3 linked regions of the Lonchura striata genome follow. The main gene of each other region encodes a partner of the protein of the gene in region 2 in a complex. Links are inferred from orthologs where the notes say so. Each region holds a gene or a part of one and is shown on either strand. Other genes may lie near its edges. The genes, in order: ERC1, PHLDB2 and PPFIBP1.

The links.
Region 1: PHLDB2 (region 2) and ERC1 share a complex: the UniProt entries of both Homo sapiens proteins name them as parts of the cortical microtubule stabilization complex. The link is inferred for Lonchura striata from reciprocal best matches to the Homo sapiens genes PHLDB2 and ERC1.
Region 3: PHLDB2 (region 2) and PPFIBP1 share a complex: the UniProt entries of both Homo sapiens proteins name them as parts of the cortical microtubule stabilization complex. The link is inferred for Lonchura striata from reciprocal best matches to the Homo sapiens genes PHLDB2 and PPFIBP1.

Annotation. Positions count from the first base shown.
Region 1 is NC_134607.1:12,158,631-12,166,484, reverse strand, and holds the start of ERC1 (ELKS/Rab6-interacting/CAST family member 1), read right to left. Parts: upstream 3,052-7,854; 5' UTR 2,899-3,051; intron 1-2,898. UniProt on the Homo sapiens protein: Regulatory subunit of the IKK complex. Probably recruits IkappaBalpha/NFKBIA to the complex. May be involved in the organization of the cytomatrix at the nerve terminals active zone (CAZ) which regulates neurotransmitter release.
Region 2 is NC_134604.1:3,798,021-3,805,568, forward strand, and holds the start of PHLDB2 (pleckstrin homology-like domain family B member 2), read left to right. Parts: upstream 1-4,501; 5' UTR 4,502-4,552; intron 4,553-5,235; exon of another isoform or gene 5,236-5,376; intron 5,377-7,548. UniProt on the Homo sapiens protein: Seems to be involved in the assembly of the postsynaptic apparatus. May play a role in acetyl-choline receptor (AChR) aggregation in the postsynaptic membrane.
Region 3 is NC_134607.1:1,797,318-1,804,517, forward strand, and holds the start of PPFIBP1 (liprin-beta-1), read right to left. Parts: upstream 3,038-7,200; 5' UTR 2,952-3,037; intron 1-2,951. UniProt on the Homo sapiens protein: May regulate the disassembly of focal adhesions. Did not bind receptor-like tyrosine phosphatases type 2A.

The sequences.
Region 1 (7,854 bases), on a different chromosome or scaffold from region 2:
TTTATAGGCTTATTTTAGAGTATAAAGTCAGTAAATACTATGTGTTTTTACCCATGGCTATTGTTCTCTTCCCTACAGGTAGCATGCAACCAACAACCCACTTCCTAATAGCAGAAATAAAATGTTAAAAGCACTAAAGATTTTCAGAAGCCCAGAAGTGCCTAGAAGCTCTAGTGAACCCATGCAGACAGACAGCCTAAAGTCACCATGGGCAACATCACACTGCAAGGCAAAGCATGCTCCAGCTACAGAAATTCCATCATAATCTCACCCTGACAACAATGCTGGCATATTGACATAGCCCACGTGCTACAAAACACCACTATTTCTAAATCAGCACTGGATTTTCTAGGATCTCCTGCTCTACCACTGCATGCCAGAATTAAACTCTTGGCTTAAACAGGCAGCAATGGACAGAACCCTCCTCACCTCACTGGCTGCCCTGTTGCAGCAGGGTGGCCAGCAAGGGTCAAGAACCCATACTCTGGGTTTAGTTCTAGTAAAGTTCTATTATTTAAAAAGCCACATGCATCCCTTCACACTTACATTTCTGACCAAACCATACTCAGCTAAAACAAGCCAGACCCTTCAAATACAACACAATTCTCCAGTGGTTTAGCCAGGTAAGAGCTGTAACAAAATTCTCACCCTAGAGAGGTTTTCAGGGGAACAGGCTTGAAAAGAGGGAGGGGTGAGGGGATGAGAGATAACAATGGGAGAGTATCCTGCTTCACACAGTAAGAAATAGGGGCAAGGAACTCAAGCACTGGTCACAATAGCATGGTGAACTATTTCTATTCATACAGCAGCAGGCAACTGCTACCAGGAACTGACAAAATGGTAGATTCAAAGAAAGAAAAAAAAAAAAAAAAAAAAAAAAGATAAAAAAAAGGAAAGAAAACAAGTAAGAAACCCACTAAATGCTAAAGACCCCTCAAAGAAACAGCCGGGGTTTCTCTCATCAGCAATATTTGCAATTTAGTAAAAGGGTATAGGCCACATAAATACCAAACCTGCCTTTTTTGCTAATCAGGCTATTAGCCACATATTACAGATGAAAAGTTACGTGAATGGAATCTCAAAAAAGCTCATGACAGGATCAAATAGAATGCTAAAAATTATGAACAACGTGATGCTTTAATACAGTCTAGAGAGCATGCTTTCTTTAGTTCAGGCTTCTGCTAACATCCCAGCAGTGATTTAAATACAGTTGAATTGGTTTCCCAGAAGTGACAGAAGTTCAAATTATATCAAAGATTTGATAAACTCACATTTAATTCAGCAGATCCCAACCTTTTTCTAGCTGCAGCCTGATGGATTCAGACAATTCCAAATTTCTGGATGATACAGTAGGTGTAGACTTGACTGCTCTGGGAACTGCTGTTCTGTGATAAAGTTCTGAACTGTGCTTCCAGAACTGAACTACATTCAATACAGCTGTTAACTAAATAATCACTGCTTTCATTACTGAAAAAATCCCCTATTTTACTACCAACTCTAGTCACAGCAGGACGGGCAAGGTGGTGATTTCTCTCTTCTTATTCTATTTGGAATGGCTCTAAGGGTGCTGACTCATAACTGACCCCGAATTGGGGCACACATCCGAGCTGCTGCAGTTTCCAACACAAACTCCGGTACCGTGTCAGGCTGTAGCTCAGGAGGAGATGTGTGTGCAGCCACCTACGGCTACAGACGCAATAATCTCAGGGAGCAAAGGAGGGCAGGCAGCTGGTGCAGGTTATTGCTGCAGACATCCTTGCCCAGTTGGCCATTGTTTGAGAATCACAACCCCACAAACAAACCAGACAACTTTCTGCGGTTACAACTTGTTGGATCTGAGGTAAAACGCAATCCAGCTACAACCACCCTGCATATTTGAGCATGGCCCCCAGAATGTGCTGGGACAAAATGTAAAACACTTGTTCTTCAGAACAATTCTGGTTTTATCCATTTGCTTTCCATTCTCTCTGCTTGTGTATTGCTTCTCACCACCACCAGCACCTCCATAGGTGTTTCTTTACATCTTTGCATCTCCCAGTCTCTCCCATTTCCACCGGGGCTTCCCTTTAAACCGTTTCACACTGTATCAGCACAAACCATAACATGAAACTTCCAGAGCGCACGTAACATTCCAGGTTAAATAAATTGTGTGCTTCGTAAGTAACCTCCAGAGCTCGCACTACAAACCAGACGGATGTGGAAGGGCAGCAACTCCTGACACAGGCTTCAGGATGGCAGCAGACTCCGAAACAAAGCACCGTGTCAGCTGACAGCGGCTCATAGTAGATACAATAAAATACGCGAAACTGACCAGGCAGCGCTCACAGAGAAAACATAAAAAACCCAGCACCGCCGCAAGGTCTGGGCAGGACGACAGCGCTCAGCATTACCTCGGATGAGGTGACTGAGATAACAAAAGCGTGCGCTTCCCAAGGACAGGCTGACTGAGGAGGGGCGGAAAAGCACGGCCGGGAAGGCGAATGGGCAGAGCAGGAACGACCGCCCGCGAGAAGCACGACCGAACCCCGCCCGGCAGGACGCGGGCCCGCGGGGCGATGCAGCCGGCCCGCCGCGCTCCCGGGGCCGGGCCGGGGCCACCCCGTCCCGGGCGCTGACAGCGTGCGGGGCCCGGCGGGGACAGGCCGCGACCCCCCGGCCGCCCCCTCCCTCCGCCCGGCCGCAGCCCGCGCACCCCGGGGCCGAGCCGCCCGCGGGCCCGCACCCACCTGCGCCGCAGCTCCGCGGCCACAACCCCCGCCGCCGCCGGACCCCGGCCGGCCGCAGCCCTGCCCAGCGCGGCGCTGCTCCCGCGGCTACCGGCGCCTGCAGGCCCCGCCCCGCCCCGCGCTCCCCCCAGCGGACGGCGAGGCGCGCCAACCCAACCCGACCCCCCCTCACCTGCCTGTCAGCCCGCGGCGAGGGCACGGCACGGCAGGGGCGGCGCTGGCCGCGCTCCGCTCCGCTCCGCTCGGCTTGGCTCCGCTCGGCCCGGCTCGGCTCGGCTCCGCTCCCGGCCGCTTCTCCTCCGCCGCTCCCTCCCGCGCCCCCGGCGCGAGACACGCGCAGGCCCCGCCCCCCGGCGCGCGAGCTCGCCGCGCGGGGCTTCCCTCGGCCCGCCCCGCCCCGCCCCCGCCCCCGCCCGCGCGCGTCACCGCCCGCGCGCGTCCCCGGGGAAGTTTGGCTCCTCTCCGGCGCCGTAGCGGCCGCTCCGCGCGGGAACTGCGAACAGGCCGCGGCCCGGCCCCGGCACTCGGCGGGCAAGGCCCCACAGAGCCTGGGAACCCGGCCCCACGGAGCCTGGGAACCCGGCCCCACGGAGCCTGGGAACCCGGCCCCACGGAGCCTGGGAACCCGGCCCCGAGCCGCGGTCTCCCCTGCGGGCGGCTGCTGAGTGGCCTCGGCCGGCGGGCCAGCGACCTGCGTCAGGCCGGCGTTCCTGAGGGAGCTCGGGCCGACAGGCACGGACCCCATCAAGAATCCTTCCAAGTTGGATTTGCTGCGATTTCAGGGCGTAAGGAAGGACCAACAGCAGCACGGACCCCATCAAGAATCCTTCCAAGTTGGATTTGCTGCGATTTCAGGGCGTAAGGAAGGACCAACAGCAGCACGGAATTCCTTAGCCCTTATTCCCAGGGGACGCTGAATTGAGAGATGATGTCAAGTGGGCTAGGTCTGTCAGACTGCGCAAGGAACGATCCTTATTGACGTGTTTAAATTCGTATCTCTTTGCAATGAATACAGCTTATATTGTAATTATAGTATTTCGTCATATTATATATTACATATGTTTTATATCTGATTTATTATTATATTTTGACATTGTATATATTGCATTTAATTACCGCTTATATTTTAATTCGGACCTCTGGCAGGCTGATATCCACTGAGGTCTCAATAACCTGAACTTCCCTTTCTACTGTGGAAGCAGAGAGTCTATTTTACATTAATTTCTGTAGGCTTATATTGTGCACGTAAGTGCATGCTACAGTATCTAAGGCCTTCTGTCAAGCCTAAGGTATCCCCCCGAAAAGGAAATAATTTTTACTTATCTTGCTGGCTAAGAAGGCAGAAGGATGGAAATAGATACAGGCTTGCCCACGCCTCGGGTATCCTGCCAATTTCAAGTGTAAATGAATTTCCATTTAACAATAAGCAAGTGTCAACGTGGAGCAAAACAGAGCCTGAGAGCTTTAGGTTTTTCATCCCAGTTTAATTAGTGTGTCATCTTAATACGGTCTTGCTGCCAGAAGTGTCAGCTGTGCCTGTGAGGTGTTACTGTTTCATACCTGGAAAAAAATTAGTATGACAGAGTTGTTCTCTTTTCTTTCAGTTCTACCCCTTGGTTATTGTTTATTGTTAAAAGGATTTTTTTTTAATAATATCAAAAATATTATTTGTACAGGAGTACCAGTCAATCCCTTTAATGAAATATTTTTATTAGGTTGTGAGTAAATGCAAATGAATTAAATAATGTGAGAAATTAAATAGTATTTATATTCTTGGAAAGCAAATGTATTTCAAATTTACAATTGTTTGGAATGACCTGTCTCCTAGGATGCTGTTGGTGCATTTTTAACTAAGGAAACTTTTTTGGACCTCTGTAAGGCAAAAATTGCAATGGGCAGTGAAACATCAAAGAAAATTACGTAGCGAAGGGGTAACTGCACACACACCACTGCTATTAAAGCAAATGTTTGGAGGCATAACCAGCAAAATTTGAAAAATACGCAGGCTACAACACAGCAAACACATGCTAAACAAAGCAGTTTGGGCTGGATTTGTAATTATTGGGAAAGCAGGCCCCTAAACAGCTTCCAGCAGTTACATTGATTTTCATGAGCTTGTGGCTGCCTGGCAGGAAACAGCACAATGAGTAAGGAGGTGAGTTTCTCATCCTGTGTCCCAAAAATGCAGGAATTGCCCAGGTAAGTTTTTTTTCAGATGTTAGATGTATCCAAAAATTCTTAAATAGAAACACACCCCCACAAATGCACTGTTACACTTCCAAAATTATATAAAAGTAAGGAAGAAAACTTTACCCTGTGCTCATTAAACTGTTAAAAAAGTGGAATCAGAAATAGTGTTTTCTGTTCAGTGTAGGGAGGATCATGATCCTAGACATGCCAAGAGTAAATCTAGCAGTGCCTGACAAATAAAAGAGTCGAGTTGTTCTTTTGGAGCCACACAGATTCCAGTGGAATGAGTGGGGCTGAACGGAGGTGTGCATCTGACGTGCTGTAACTGAGCAGGAATTGTCAGAGTGGTGCTTGTATGCCTTGAAAGCAAATATATTTAAACTACTGCGGGGAGCTCAAACATTCTATCTTACACCTTTTCTCTTATTACAGAATATGACCTGAATGAGTGAGGGGCATGAAAAAGGCACTGTCATCACGTGAGGCCAGCTGGAGTTGCAGCAGACACTCAGTCTCCTGAGCTGCCCCTGCATTTCCATGTTTAACCTCTCAGTGAGTATCTTTTCCTCTGGTCAAAATTAACAGAACATTACCTCGCTTTTCTCAAGTCATCAAGGTTATTTAATTAGTGATATCAGAGATGAAAACTGGGGAGTTCTATTGTGTACACCTTATCCACAAGCAACCGCATCATCTCTTTTCCACTCCTTGTAAACTGTGGAATAGTACAGGCCTGTCTTGGTTAGGAACATCTACCCCATTACACTTGAAAGAGGTACTTCAGGTTTGTGTTAAAGCAGCCTTTGCATAACAGGTAAATCGGCTTATAAAATAGTCTGGGCTTCTCAAAGGAAAGAAAACTCCACAGAAATATAAAGCTTGTAAAGTTTTTTTTGATGTTTTCTTAGAGTAATACCTTAGGTTAAGTATGTGGCATTATCTTTAGTGCTTGCTAAATCACACTTGCTGCCTGTGTAACTGTTTGCTCTTGCTGGGCTCAGTGGAATTGCATTTATTGAAAGAATGTTGAAGATCTTTACTCAGCAGACCAAAGCCTCTCAGAGAAGGAAGCTTACCAGACAGAGAGGGCAAGGATGAATGAAAAGCCCTCTGGATGTTCACAGCCTGTGCTGAAGTCCCTTCTTAGCTTGTGGGATGCTGGGATTAATTCCGTGGAACAGCCGTGTTCTAGCTGAGCATTGCCCAAGCTGCGGTGCTTGCACAATGCACAGTATGCAAGCTATTCTGAAGTGATGCAAAACTTCCTGCTTCCACCTCACAGGTGAGGAGAGCTGGGCACTGGCACTCATACCACAGGATCAGAGCACAGAGCATGGTTCAAAAACCTGATTTGTCAAGGCAGAGTGGAACTGATAGGAAAAGACATGATTTAGGAGCACAGTAAATTTGTGGGGGGTAATGGATAGTAGGATAGAAAGGTGCGTGAGGAAGTTAGAAAATTAGAAGTTATGTCCACACAATCATGGTAGGTGGTGTTGCTGCTGTAGCCCCACAGTGGTAGATATACTTGAACAGATTAGGTTTAGGATTAAGTTCAGGATTATCAGTTCTGGAAGATTGGTTTATTTCCTGCACAAGAATTTGTGTACACACACATTTTTCTCAGCAGTGCTCAGTTTCAACACCATGCAAATATACCTACTTGTACAGTGCTGTTGAAAATTAGTATTTCATATCCAATTTCCCAAACCAGAGATTGTTTTTTTGCGATTATGTACCCAATGTGTTCAAATTTTGAAAGACAAGATCAAAATAGGTAGTAGTCAAAGCTGGTAAGTTTCTTTACCTGTTCTAATGTGTCAAGGCAATGCTTTGGAGCACAGTGCAGTACCTCTAGTCTTATGTGGACTCCTTCTCAGTGACAAGAAAACTTCCTGAGAACATTACCAGCTAAACTCAGAAGAATTCCCTGTAAATAATAAACAATGTCTCCATTGCCACAGAGATAGCAAATTATAATTTGTAGGCACCTTTAAACTGATAAACTGCTTGTATCATCCTGCATATTCAAATGCATATTTGAACTTTAGTTTTTAGTCTTTCTGGTTTAAAAATAGGGCATATTTTAACACTGATTAATGAGGCAGGCAGCCTCCTGCCACAGCCCAGAGGGTGTCTGAGGCTCTTCGGCACTCCAGTGAATAGTTTATTATCTACTTCAGCATTAATGTTTCATGCAAGTTAAAATGTTCTGGGGAGAAGACAGGGTAGTGAGGAAACAATATTCCAGTGAGGAGTGGAAACATCTTGCCTTTCCTGGGTCTGGCACCAAGATAGATTTGTAGCTCCATGTGCAGAATTAACTTCTCATTGTTCCCAGCTCCTAATCTAATAATTTTTTATATTGAAGTTCTGTCACTCTGAAAGGGTCAGACAATTGCTTTGAGACACAGGGCTTGGCTATGCTGCACTTCCCCAACTGCAAAACCCCCCACATTGCTCTGATCGAGGGTATGGTTTAAATAATGCTCACAGCTGAAGCTGCTCCTGCAGGTAAAGCCTGAAACTAAGCTCACTTGTGTCTCCTTCACTCAAATTATATTCACACAACTACTACCAACCACTGACAACTAAATTTAGACTGATAATGGTGGACCGTATAAAACCATATAAAAGCTTGAAGGACTCTAACTAAAACCGGTGTTAAGCAATTTTGCATCAAAATGCCACCCACCTGCTTTGCATAAATTGGTCATAGTGTTTGTAGGCAAGTGACATTTTGGTCATTGTTTCTTCCCAAGGGCTCAGAGTGATTAAGATCTGATTGAGGCAGCTTGGGGGTGTGAGTGGAGGCAACAGTATTGTTCAAATTTCAGTTCCCTTGGCCACACACACTATTTATGTCTTCCTAATTGCCTCCCTCCCCATGCAGTGAACTCTTTGCTGAGCAGAGGAAATAGTCTGTTTAAATCACAAG
Region 2 (7,548 bases):
AGTGCCTGTAGTTTTCAATGTGTTTTCTCACAGACCATATATCAAAAATGCACTTGTGTACAGGAAAAAAACACTTTACTAGCACTGCAGAGAGCTTAGCAGCAGTAGCAGAGCTGGCTGATGGAGCCCTAAGCCACCCCCACTGACCAGTGCACAGCTGATTCTAGGAAAGGGAAGCAATTAATCAGCTGTGAAGACAGAGAACCATACACAAGCTCATAGAGGAGTGCTCTTGTGATTTGAAGCAATTTCTGTGGTAGCAAAAATTCTTTTGATTACTAAAATACCCTATTTAATGAAGAGAGTGCTCTTCTATTGCATTAAATGGTCCAGTTGCTCAATAAAAATGGTTACCTCTGACAAATCTTGTCATGTTTGTATCTTTAGGCCATTATGGAGACAACACTGCTGCTACTTAAATGAGTCATTATGAGTTGTGCAATTATAGACAGAGGGATTTTTTTTTTTAAGGTAACTACTGATTATTAACAGAAAATTAACTGCCTAAATTAGTCTTCCTTTAATGGTAGTTCTGCAACAGAGTTATATTGTGGGCTGGGCAGTCAGCATAAAGGAAGAGCAAACCTCCCAAATGTCCTGTAAATCCAGGCAAAACCTCACAGAAGTGGAACAAAACTCACCTACCAGACCTGTCCCTTAAGCTCTGAATTCAGCTGCAAAAGCAGCTAGTGCCTGATGGTTCTGAGAACAAGCAAAATAATAATGGCCTTTTTTGCCTTGCAATTACAACCCAGTTAATTGTGTACAACTGTGCAAAGGAAGAGAGTAAGGAAATTCCTTTCTTGACCCTTCCAGCAATTGATTTGTGCCCTGAAGCATGAGATTTGATTACTCATGTAACTTATTTTCCCCAGGCACTTTCTTCTTGATAGCTCTTGTGTGACAGTTCAAGAAAGTTTCAGGATGAGTCACAAGAACACTCCACTGGTTGAACCCCAACTTCTTTTATTACTGATATACATTTCTATTGAGTGCCGCATTAAGAGATTTTTAGATTTTTAACTAGGATGACCAGTGAAACTACAGGGTGTGATTTTTTTTCACCAGAATGGTACTGATGAATGCAGTCATCCTCCACGTTGCCTTTCAATTTTGCAGATTCCCAATGAGCCTTAAAAACCAAGATTCTTTCATGACCTAGAATCCAGCCTTCTAAACTGCCTCAAAGTGTCTTTGAGGAAGTTACAGCAGAGGAATCGCTGCTTACTTTGAAGTTTCACCCAAAGTTCTGGTTTTTAAGCTATAAACAAGTGGTTCAAAATGCTCTGGCTACATCCTGGAAAGCACTGAATCATTATGACTTCAGTTGTTGTGACAGGTTTGTTCAAAAAAGGTGCAATTTAATAATCCATTGGCATGTTGCTGATGCTGCTCCAAGAAACAGAGGCTCAGTCTCAAGCACAACTGCTCAGATCTGTTTCTATTCTCATCCATCACTCTAAAGCAAGTACTTTTTGGACGTTTTTCAGAGGATGTAGAGGTGTTTGGGAAGGAAGAGGCTTCACCTGGATCATTTTCTTGATCTGTTTTTAATAAATAATTGCATCACCCCACCAAAGAATGTAACAAATCATAGACTATGAATCCAAATGAATAGTTAAGGCACAAAACTGAAGACACCGGACCAGTTTTGCCACCAAAGCAAAGTCTGGGTGTAACAGCACCCAGTCATCAATGGGAAGCTTTATCTCAACTGACTTTGTCAGTCTGGGAATCCCTCTCCTCCTGCAGGTAACAAAAGGCTGAACCAACTCCCAGCTGTGGGCTCTGGCTCATTTGACAGAAATGCAGCCTTGTCCACAGCTGATGTGGATAAAATCTGTGAAGGTAAGGGACCAGGTAATGCAGAGGTTGTGACTGTGGGTGCCTGCTCAGAGATTACTTCAGTTCTGAAGCAGCTGAAGTGATCTCACCTATCTTACAGAAGCATGGTAACAAAATGGCATTTTATTACCATTTGCAATGCTCCTGATTAAAGCATGCTTTTTGTAAACATTCCAACATTTGATTTCTACTTATATGAATTGCCATGGAAACCAAATTTTTATCGGGCATGCTTGCATTCTGAAGGGTGGAGAATTTTGAAAGCCTCTGTGATATGTTGATGTTGAAGTACAATTGCCATGAAAACTGTTAATGCTAGCTAGATGGACTGTTGAACCCATTTATGACTTGTAGCTCTCGTGCAAGTTTCCATATACTTTTTACTGGCTTTTCTTTTAATAGTAGCATTCTTGTTGGAGCTTCTTTTGCTCCAACAAGAGTTTTCAGGTCTTTAGTTTATGGAGGTTCTCTTGTTTCCTAATTTTTAAGTATTTCCTGCTCATAAAATGTAAGACAAGGTTTTTGTTTTTTTATATTGCCAGACTCTCACCTGTTAAACATTACAATTTACCAAGTTATTTTAGAACCTCAGCTATGGCTGAGTACTTATTATTATTTTGAGTACTTATTACAATTTTAGAAATAAGTCATATTCTGTATTCTTATTTAGTTTGCTGAAAAGAAACAGATGATACTGATTAAGACAAAGTGTTCACAGCATACAGGTAGCAGGGAAAACATATGATCTGCCTTACCCAGCTTTGCTGCCTCTTCACCTACTAGGTAGGAAATAAGTGAAGGCAAATTTCAGCCAACATATCACAAGTTCTTCAGAGCAACTGTTTGACTGCAAGAGCAAAGTTGCAGCTTTCCATACTCCTAGGCTTCACATTCCCTAGGGAGATTTTTGCAGACTATTACTTACAATTTTTCCCACTTAAAAGGAAAAGGAAGATCATGTGAGATGAAGGGAAGGCTGGCTGCTTTTGGTTCTGGCTGTGGCAAGGCTAAAAGTAATTTTCAGTTCTACTAACTGTGAGCATGCCCTTAACTCTGCATTTATTACACACATATGCCTTTATTTTTTAAGTGCCTTGCTTGCTCGGTGAACAAAACAGAAGAGCAGGTTCAATGCTAGCGGAAAATGAAACACTGGGATGTTTGTGAGAAGAGACCATCTAGGTTCTGGCCTTTTGGAGTTATTAGTCTCAATGCTTGTCTTTTTATAGTAAACCAGAGTAGACAGTAGGACAGTCAAGGGCACCTTTTTTAAAATATCCTCTAGTATTGTGGGTTTCACCATACAGATTTTCAGGTACTAAGGAGTTTATATTGTAGTAAAGTCACGGTTCTAGCCGAGTGAAACATCCCCTGGAATACGTAAGGCAGGAAGTGTATCACAGCAAGCTCCCTTCGCTCGTGGCACAGCGGCAGCCTGGCAGTGCCTTACCTGGCCGAGTGCTGGCTGAGCTCTCACCCATCCCGCAGGAGCCCCGCACGGCAGGTAAGCGCTGCTGTTCCCCGATTCCTTCTTTGGGAAACAAACGGGGGAAGGCAGAGTGACGAGGCCACACAGCACGAAACGAGATCGCTGTGCAGGATACTCTGGCTCACTGCCCCGACTCCTCCAGGCTGCCTCGCATCTCTCAGCGCCGGCGTTTCCTTACCGAGCCCGGCACCGCACAGGCGCTCGGAAAGAGAAGCTTTATGCTTATATGCCCTGGGCTGCCAGCACCCAGTGTTCTCGGGCGTGGGACGACCCCTCCCCGGAGGCTTTGTCGCCTTTTCTTCCCCCGTTGTCCCTGCGGAGCCTCCTGAGCCTGGAGCCCCGCAGGTCCGGGCTGGCCAAACGCGGGACGGGCGGGACGCGCTGCCCCGGCGCACACGCTTTGCCCGGCTGATGCTGCTTTGTAGGCTTGCTCTGGTGTGAAACCCCTCCAGCAAGAGCCGGCCGGTCCCACCAGCCCGTTCCCTGCTTTGGGAACAGCAAAGAGCCGGTGGTGGCAGCTCCATCCTTCGGCGATGCACGGGGACTGGGCGGGGGTGTTTTGGGAGCCCCGTGTGTGTACACACGAGGGTGCCTGTGTATTACACATATGCTTTCATGGGTGTGTTTTTCTCAGGTAAGAGGAAATCTTGAATTTCAGGACACCTCAGGCAGAGGCAACAGCAGGGTGTGACCCCGGGCTGGGTGAGCGGCAGGGGAACGGAGGCGAGCGGCTCCGCTCCGGCATCGGGAGGGCGGAGAGCAGCCCCCTCAGCCCCCGCTTTCCCCGGGGATGAGGAGGAGGAAGATGAGGGCGCAGGCAAAGCGCGCCCCAGGCACGGAAAGCGGGGCCCGCGCCCTGCCAGCGCCGCCCTGTTTGCTCAGCTAATCTCGCGGGCAGGAAATTGCCTGGCGACTCATATTCGTGGATCGCGAACAGCTCCAGGGCGGCCCCTCCGGGGACATCCCCGTGCCCCTTCCCCGTTCTCGCCCGTCCGCCCCCGGCTCCGTCCGTTCCCCCCCATCCCGGCTGCCCTTTGCCCGGCCCGCTCCCGCGACCCCGGCCTGAGGGGAGCGAACCATTCCGCCCGCGGGGGCGCCCCGGCCCCGCCGGGGGGCGGGCGCTGCGGCGGGGGGCGGCTCCCGGGGGCGGCGGCGCTCCCGCAGCCGGGCGGGGACCGGGACCGGGACCGGGACCGGGATGCGCGGGGAGCGGCGGCGGTGAGTGCGGGGAAAGCGCCGTCCCGCGGGGTGGGCGAAGCCCTCCCGGGCCGCTCGGATGGAAAGAGGCGGCGGGGCCCCGCGGGGATGGGAAGAGGGTCGCTCTCGGGCACGCAGAGCCTGGGCTGACGCCGGCTCAGCTGCTTGCGACCGGCCCCGTGTTTTGGGCTACTTTTAAGGGAGTTTGTGCCGCCACCACCCCCACCCACTCCCCCGCCTCCGGTCCCTCCGCACGTCTGACGGGTGGGGGCGGTGGGGTCCCCCCTTGCTGCCCGGCTCGGCAGGGACCCCGCAGCTGATAGAGACGGGGCTCCATCTCTTTCATCGCCAGACGCTTCTCTCCCTCTTTGTCCGGGTGGTTCCCCCCGGTTCTGCCGCGTCCCCGCTGGCGAACAAAGCCTCTGCCCCGGGGGCGCCGGGGATATCCGTCCGAGGTCTGAGGAAGCGAGGGAAGAACGGCGGGGCTTGGCTTTGCTTGCTTTGGTTTCCCATCGTAAATAATCTACCTGGTGGAGGGGAAAGACGTGGGACAAGGCTCTTTGTCCGCGGTCCTTTGTTCGGCTGGTGGCTTGTAAAGGCTCCTGCGGCTGTGCGAGGGCTGCGGTGCCCGGCGGGGATGCGTTCCCGGCGCGGAGCCGGCGATGGATGCCGGCTCGGCATCGCCGGAGTTTAGCAGCAGGAGCACGGCGGATCGGCTTGCGGACGGAGATCGGGGCTTTGGGCTCCGTGTCCCCTGACAGATTCAGAGCTCCTGAGTCCCCCCTGGTGTAGCCCTGTCAGCAGCCGGGTGGGATTCGGCGGCGCCCGGAGCGCCGCGCTCGGTGGTGAGTTCAGCCCGGAGATCAGAGCTTTTCTAGGGAAGAGATGTGCTGCCCACGAGCAAAGCGAGCAACGGGCTGGAAACTACGGCCCCCTCTCCTTCTCCTGCCCCAAAGCTGCCTGAGGAATTTCCCCATGTGCAGAAGTGTAAATAGACTGGAGATGGGCTTTCTGCTCCTGCCACTGAGTGCTTGCTTGATCTCACACACATGGCTTTTGTCACCAGTCCCTTTTTCTTCCAAATGCTCATCTTGTCAACCTGTCATCTTGTCTCTGTGCCTTGACTCTGCACGTGCCCGAATCCTCTGTGTCTGCATCTTCAGGGCATCTGGGTGAACATGTTGCCAGTCAGAACATGGTGAATATTTCATTTTTGTGCCACACCTTCACTCTCTTTTGGAAGAAGAGTGGCACAATAGCAGCCTTTTTTGCAAATTGTCATGTTTAGTGAACTTTCTAGTTTCTGTATTCTCTATATTCTTGTGGGTAATGCCCTCAAAAATGAGTTATTAACATGGGAAAGGATCAGAGATGGGAGGAAGTAAGGCATGATAGAATGGAATTGCAAAGGGTGAGGATGGGCTTGCTTTCCCACAGCAGTGTAGGAAAGAAAGGAGATAAAGTGATCAGGAGATGGGAGAGTGCCTGCCTTTGCTGTCATGGGGAGGGGTAGTCTGAACTAAGAGGATTACAGAAAAAGAGATACCTTTAGGGCTGCCAAGTAGTAACATCCTACCTTTTCTGTATAGTTCATTTTACACAGTTCCTTTTCTACACCAGTAACTTATTCTGCTTCCATTTTGATAAATGCTAAATCAACTCATTAGTGTGTCTCTTTTTACTGAGGAAATGGAATTCTTTGCCATCAGCCAGGGCAGGAAGAGTGGTCATTTTTTTCCCGTATCAGTTACTGTCTATACTTATCAGATACAATTATCAACCATATCCTTGGAAGTTGTCAAAGGCATCAGTTGACTATTGTTGAGAAGGAACAAAGCCCATCATGAAAAATTTAAAGTATTTTGGGTTTAGATAGGAAGTGGAGATTGGGTGAGCTAAAGGTTGCAGATCTATCTTGAGGCTGGAGTTGGATGAGAAGGACTGAAGATGTTTAAATGGGAGCATCTTTTTTGTCTTTTCCACTTGAAGATCCAAAGAAAAGCTGAAATAATCAAAGTAGGTGTGGGCAAGTGCTGGTGATGGTTAAGAGATTAATGCTGTGTTCACTGCACATGTGTAGTGTATTATTTCCATTTTAATTTGTTAAGATGAATGGTTAATTCTGGTGTGTAGCAACTGCCAGCAAAGCAAACAGTGTTTCCCACTGAGTTAAACAAGCAGCTACAAGATGATGTTCTGGGTGTTTTGAGCAGGTGCTCAAACATTGTTCACTTAGGATTTGTCTTAGACTGGTGGAGCACATCCAAGATAACACAGAAATCCAAAGGGATTTTTTTCCCTCGTAGAAAGAAGTTCCTCCAGAGACTACAGTGAACCGTGTAAATATGACCAAGTTTGGGTTTTTTATCATGCAGCTGGAGTCAGTTTTTAAGCAAACCACTATATTTAACTTTCCTGCAGGTGTAGCACCTCTGTTCCTCACCCAAGGGAGCTCAGTCCTGGGTGCTGCTGCTGTAAGCTGGCACGGGCAGAGCCATGGCTTGGCAGCACAGCAGCCACGGCGGGTGCCACTCGAGCTGTCACTGCCACCGTGGTGGGTTTGCCAAGCACGTGTGATGAGAAGCATTTCGTCTGGGGACGTGCTTGCTGCCCTGAGAGTGCTGGGAAATGAAGAAGAGAGGGGACGTTTGGAAATATGGGGCAAGCATCCCGGGAAGGAGATAAATCGAGGAGAAATGGATGAGTGGAACGGGAGAGACAGAAGCTGTCGGAATAAGTGGGCACTGGAGAGAACTGATTAATGGAAGGAAGTGACAGGCACAAAGTGGCAGTGAAAGAAATCAGCACAGGGGAAAGCAGATCGTGGGCAAAGGTTGTCCAAGAGTGGGAAAATGCAATAGCTGGGAGAAAAATGGTAATGACATCCAAAAAAAAAAAAAAATCAAGACTGGATGAAGCTGTTTTGATTAGTTTTTCTATTTGCTTAGATTTTCTGGGCCTTACCTACCTGTTCTCATTGGATTTCTCAGCGTTGCCCTAGGGGCAAGTTTGTTATG
Region 3 (7,200 bases), on a different chromosome or scaffold from region 2:
GACAGCTGCATGTACACATTCCACTCAAGAGGAGTAAACAAAACAAAACTTGCCTGAGCCTTCCAATAAACCTGTTCCTTACTTCTGTAAATTTAGAGATGTGGTTTGGCCAGGCAGAAATGGGCCAGATCATAATTGCACACTTTAAAGCAGCCACATAACCTCAGTTCTGCTTTGAAGCCCTGACAGTCACCCGGGTAAGTACGAGAAGAAGCTGTCTCAGATACACCAACCTCACTTGCACATCACCATTTACCAGCTGAGGCAAAAGTTACCAGCACCTCCTTGAGGAAGGGCATGCAAATTCAGCAGTGGGACAGGAGCTTTACTGACCACCCCTCACACCACAGGATGCTTTATCACCCACCTAAATCCTGCCTAATATTTGGCTCCTCCTTTTTACTGCAAAACAGCAGACTCCCCAGTCAGAGGAGGCATTCTGGGGTTTTTGCACTCCTTTTGAACCACCTAGGGAGTCAGGGATATGTTTTTGGAACATCTGTCCCAGATTGGGGATCTGGTCTCCTCTCTGTGCTGCCTCCACCTTCCCAGAAAAACACACACAATGCACAACAAAGAAAATCAGTCAGTTCCTCAAAGGAGTTCACACAGCTCCCCTGTGCTCAGCAAGCCAAAGGCCTGGTTTGATGCAATCGCAGCACAAGAAAGTGACTAAACCTTCGCTGGTTTCAAAGCTCTGCAGGGGAAGGATTTCTACTTCAACTGAAAGTGTTCCTCCAGGTGGGGAAAGAAACATCGCAGGAGCCCCACCTGGGTGGATTAAAGAGACTAAACCTCCTAAAGGACTCTGCACCGAGCAGCTCATCACACACAGCTCTGCCTGTCCTCAGGCCACCCTGAGCTGGGCACTGAGCAGTGACCAGACTTTGTCCTGCTCATCTCCAGGGACCAACGGGACCAGCCAGGCCGGCAGCACCACCTGGGAGCCTCAGCCCAGGGAATGGCCGTCATGCCAGGAATGCCAACAATTACCTCCTGCAGCCAGGGGTCACAGGCAAAGCCTCCCCAAGCACCTCCACTGCCATTTCCAGCGGCACCCTCTCCTTCCTGCAGCGTGTGTCACACTGCCCTGGCAGCACAACCCAGAAAGGAAACGCGACTCGCAGCTAAGAGGAAAAAGATGATTTTCACCACGGATCCCTGCCCCATGGGACAGCCCTGGTTTCAAGGTGCTCCACCCCGTGTGTCAGGGGCAAGCAGAGCCTGGACCTGCTGCAAAGTGCACAGGACAAACCAACTTCAGCATTCCTCAGCACAACTCTTGCACCAGATGCAGCACCTCAGCACAACTCTTGCACCAGATGCACCAGGGCTCAAGGCAGGAGATGGGCTGCCAAAGAGGGAACCTGCTCCTCAGAGCCCCCCTCACAGCCAGGTGAACAGGTGGAGCTCCCTTCAGGGAGGAGAGAAACACCAACAACTTCACCCTCCTGGCATGGGAACATCAATCCTCATGTGTGAGCACCACAGCACTCCACTGACAGTCATTGTCACTGCCAGCAGCTGACCTCTGATACAGCTTCTCAAGAAGCTGTGCTAAATCCTAAACTCCACTGGGATGGGTACTAAGCTCAAGGGAGTGTTCTGGCTCCTCATTTCTTAGTGATGTGAAGAAATTAAGAGGCCAAAATCTTTGCTGCACTTGGAACTGAGAGTTCAAGCAGATTTCTGCTTTCCAGAATGCTTCTCAAACCAACCTGCCATGCTGCCTCACTGAGACACCAGTTTTACTGAAACCTCTACTTACATCCTTCACAAAAGTAAATCCTCAAGACACAGCTGCTCCCTTTAATAGAGGCAATAAATCCCAAGCTGACACTGGGACATCTTCCTCCCCAAAGCTCCACGGTGTAAGCATGGAGAATATTCCCACTCCGTGCCCCGTTTCTGCTGTTTACTTTTGGAATGCAGCGGCACTTGCATTGCTCAATGTGCTGCCAGTGCAGTCGCACAGAGCTACACACGGGCTGCGGGCAGCGGCTGTGCCCGGGCCAGAAGGCGGAGAGCTGCAGAGCCTCTGAAGGCTCAGGCACAGCCGAGCCCGGCCTGAAACTCTTCCTGGTGCTCCTCACTCACACGAGGGAGCACACACGTGTTACAGCCCAGCCCAGCCTCGCACACCAAAGCGCCCCTTCCCCCAGAAACAGCTCGGAGGTGCAAAGCGCCTTTTCACAGCTCCAGCTGCACCCAGCCCCGGCCTGAGCAAGAACAGCGACTGCAGCTGTTGGGAGTCACGGCTCCAACAGAAACAGACCTCGGGAAAATAATGACAGGATGTAAGAACCCCAGGCCTTAAATCAAACCACATTTGTTAGCTCTAGATAAAACTCATAACTGCAGTTTCACAGCACCAGTGCCTGAAGCTTCCTACCAGAGCCCGAAAAGATTAAACAGGAGAACGTCAACCTCTCCCCAAAACTTCGCGAAAAGTTACATCAGGTCCAGCACAGAAACAAGGCACAGAAGGTCGGGAGTGCTGGAAGCGCCGGGAGGTGGCACGGGCACAGGGACAGGCAGGGGACAGAGGCTGGGGGATGTGGCGGGCACAGGGACAGGGACATGCAGGGGACAGAGGCTGGGGGATGTGGCGGGCACAGGGACATGCAGGGGACAGAGGCTGGGGGATGTGGCGGGCACGGGCACAGGGACAGGCAGGGGACAGAGGCTGGGGGATGTGGCGGGCACAGGGACAGGCAGGGGACAGAGGCTGGGGGATGTGGCGGCGCAGCCTCCCCGCTGCCCCGCTCCGGGCACACGCGGCGCTCCCGTCCCCGGGCCGGCTCCGGCCCCGCTGCCGGGGCCCCGGGCCATGGCGGCGGCAGAGGAGGAGCCGCCGGGGCAGGGCACGGCGGGGCTCATCCCGCCGGGACACCGAGGTGCCGCAGCCGGCTCCGAGCGGTCTCGGAGCGGCTCCCGCGAACTTCCCTTACCTGCGGCCGAACCGCGCGGAGCCTCCGGGGCGGCCGCGCCTCCGCCGGCTCCGGGCAGCCCCCGCCGCCGTCCCGCCCGCGCCGCTCCGCTCGGTGCCCGCCCCGCTCCGCCCCGGGACGGCCCCGAGCCGCCGCTCTGCCCCGCCCGGCCGAGGCGCCGCCCGCCGCCGCTCCCGGGCCGGCCATGAGGGAGCCGGCGTGGGGCGGTGCGAGCGGCCGCGCTCCCCGTGCCCCTCACGGGCCGTCAGAGAGCAGCGAGCGCAGCCCGGGACTGCGCAGCACAGCGCGAACCTCACCCGGTTCCGAGCGACACGTCCAAGCTTACAACGCCCCTGTGACTCCGCCACCTCCGGGTGCTCTGCCCGGGACCCCGACCGATGTCCGCGGTCTGCTGCCCGAGTTCCCCCGAGCCGCTCCTCGGCGGGGGAAGGAGGCGGCACCGAGTGACACCCCGGGCAAATCTGCAGTGCCATGCCAGCGCTTGGCCGCAGGGCTGGGGATAAACATGGTGCGGGTTTTAGTGCAGCCATCCGTGCTACTTCCGCAGGAGCGTTGCTCTCATTTATACAGTGCAAGTGACTCCGTGCACTGCATCAACAGCCTCGCAGCCACACCGAAAACCAGCCTTGGCTTTACCGGCTCCATGGCAGAAAGGCCTGAGATGCTGCTCTCTCAGGAGTGGAGCCACACAAAGAACAGACCCAGGGGTTCAGCCAACCAACTCTCAGTTTTGTTTGGAGTTGCCTCAAAGCTCTTCCTCCCACCCCTTCTCTAAGCGCTGGGTGAGAGAAAACTTGTCATGTTTTGTTCGTGGAAAAGACAATTTGCTTGTGTTCTGTTCCTGACCATAACATGCAAAAATGTGGAAGTTTCCAGTCAAAATGGAAAAGTTTTGGTGATGTGTTGAAAGCAAACGTTTTGAATTCCCAGCAAAAGTGGGAAGGTATAATTTGCTTTTTAAGCACAGTTTGCAAAGGACAAGTCAATCCAAACCACTTTTTTTTTGGCCACACAAGCTCCAGTGTGTCTCAGGTTAAACAGCAGGACTGAATTTTAGACTATGAGAAAAGAAAGGCAATTTAAAAATACCTGTTTTTTTAGTGTCTTCTATTTCTAGTACCTCTGTTTCAAAACTTTGGTGCCTACCTATGGTTCTGATGCTCTGCAGTTGGTCTTTTTGCTCATTTTCCTCAAATTTTTATCAGTTCTCCAGCAAATGTTACCAGTTTGCTGGCAGCTGATGGGTGAGTGCTGATCACACTCCAGGTCACACCAGGCTGAATCACAGGGATCCCACTCCAGCACTCCATCCTTCCTGAAATGGCTGGGCTTGGACTTGCCCAATAACAAGCACTCAGAACAAATATGGATCTACTGTTCTTCAGCCTTTGTTTTTTGTTTTTTTTTTTTTTAATTGAATATTCTGTTGATTGTGTTTTTTGAATTTTCAATTAAGAAAGTAAAGATCTTTTAAAAAACCTAATGCAAACCTTCATTTGTCAGGATGGCACGAGGGAGATCTCTGAAAACAAATCTTAGCAGACAGAACATTTCGAACAACTGTTTGGATTCTTTCGTCCAAGAAAATACCTTTGCAAGTTAAGACAAATCTCTGATAAGGCTTTCTGGTGTGCTGATCTCTCATCTCCCCAAGTAACTTAGCCCTTTTTGCTCCAGGCTGGTTTGCAAGGAATGGTTGGTTGCTTTTCTTCACCTTTGTGGAAATGCAGGAGCCTCTAAGAAGGCGAACAAGTTGTTGGTCCCTCCTGTGAAGGCTCAGGGAAGTTACAAGGAGTAAGAGCATTTTCCAGCATTGTTCACTCCATGAGGAGGTGAAGGAAAAGAGCTTTTCCCTCACTTTGCACTGAGAACAATCACCGTCTCCGTGGTTACAAATCAATAAATGGCATTAAGCCCAGTATTTCAAGAGCTGTCAGAGGCATTTTGAAGGAGCAGTGTGCACTTTCTAACAGGATTTTCTTTGGGCAGTACATCCCATCTCCCACACACACGGCATGGTACAGCCAGGAGTAGTGTCCTAGTGTAGTTAATTTTCAGCTGGGTCACTGGGGTGAGCACACAAGCTCCAAGATCCCTGTCACAAAGCAGGTGATTTTAAGAAAAAAATCTTCCCTATTCAGGGTGCTGAGGCCCTGGCACAGGTTTCTCATAGCAGCTGTGGCTGCCCCATCCCTGAAAGCATCCAAGACCAGGCTGGATGGGGCTTGGAACAACCTGGGATAGTGGAAGGTGTCCCTGCCCATGGCAGGGTTTGGGAACTGGATAATCCTTGAGGTCCCTTCCAACCTAACTCATGCTATAATTCTATAATTCTATCAGTGCTAGCTCACGAGGAAGGTACTGAAGCACAATAACAAGCCATGTCCATCACAGCCAATTTTTAACAAATTTTTTTTTGTAAATAAATGCAGCACTTCATTGGGCCCCAAAGGTTTTCCTTTAGACCAAACTCATTCCCCAGAATACAACAGCTGAAAGAGCTGAGGGATCTCCTTCCCAAAGAACAATGGTTTCCCACCCAGGCTGTGCATGGCTTTCAGGACAGCTGAGAAAGTGGACTCAGCGAGTCACTCTTTTTATTCCCAGCTGGGTGTTAACCCTGCAGCTGAGCCAGGGTGTTTTTAGGTCAGGGCTCCATCACTGACTCTCCTGGCACAGTTGTGTCAGTCAGGGCTGTGATAAGATCCTCTGAAGGCAGAACTGTGCCAGCAAAAGCACCTTGTGCAGATAGAGGTATAAGCAGAGAAAATGGTGCTTTTGTCCTGGCAGCTTCTTTCACAGGAGGAAGCTGAAATTCACTCTCTCAGCAGCAGCAGCAGAGTTTTAATGTTAGAAGCCATTACCTTGGAAATGTTTGCTCTTCTGACCAACTATTGTAGCTGAGCTGAAAGCCAAGACAGCTTTGACAGCCACCTGAAGTATCCTGATTGTTAAATACTCAACAGAGCAAAACTGTTTTGGCCATGAACTTTAGTGTGACACCATGTTCAGTCCTGGGACAAAGCGCTGCACAAACAATTTCTAGCTGTCAAATCCATACCTTCTAGCTGTCAAATCCTCATGTTTCAATTCCCCTCCAATCCCTTCCTAAAAAGGACAGGAGAGATTCAGTGCCCAAAGGATTCCTAATCCAGGGCACCTGAAGTACAAAATGCTCCCAAACTGTACCCCCTAAACAGTCAAACTTCTGACCTCAGCTGTCCCATTACTGGCTCTTCCCACAGTGTTTGAAAACACAAGGAAAAGCCCTGCACACTGAACCTGCTGCTGAACTGATGGAAGAGATCCTGCCCTGTCTTGGCTCTGCTGCAAAGTTTCTGGTCTAAAGTTTCTGTGTCCTGAAGTTTCTGGTTTCAACCCCCCAAAAAGCAGAAGGTCGGTTAAGAAGTGACCAACCCGCCCCAGTGCTTGGGAGCATTTCAGGTGCCCAGTTTCAGGTGATCAGTCTTGTGTATTGATCTGGAATGTTGTGTAATTATCCCTAATTATCCCCTGAAAATCAAGAAAAAGCAAACCCAGTTCCATTTCCAGTGGACAAGGAAGCTTTCCATAAAATTTCACATACCTGTGAGGATTGTATTTAGCTGCAGAAACCTTTCCAGCATGAACCTCAGAGATGTGTCAGTGTGGATCTGGAAATCACAAAGAGCAGTGTTACAAATCAGAAGATGCTGCATATGTTATGTAAAATGCAAGCAAGAGAAAACCTCCTGACATGAGCACGAATCACATCAGGCTCAGCTGGAGGAATGCATACCATGGCAATAGCATAACTGCTTGAAAAGATTGGGTGTTCCAGACCATTGTCCTCCCATTACTGTGAATCATTGCTGTCATCAAAAGCAGGACAGGAAAGGTTACACTTCAAGAAAGTTCTACATTCTTAAATTTCTGCAGGCCTACCAAACATTTTTTTTCTTCTCCCTGGAAATCTCACTAATTTAGGTATAAGTGCACCTTAACTGGGCTGAAATCCTCATGAGGTTCACATGTACTTGTTACAGCATTCTCTCAATTTCAGTATCAGCAGATAATCGTTGCTTACACTCAGGAGAGGATTTCTGGTATACTCAGTACTTGATGGAGCTGAAGAGAAGCCCTTTGAGTACTCAAAGTATTTAACTTCAAACACAGGAAAAAATGTTCAGCAGAGGAGTCAGGAACTGGCATAGAGGTGCCAGCAATAACTTTTCCTAGTAGCCCCCACACTGGAATGTCCCAGATAAGC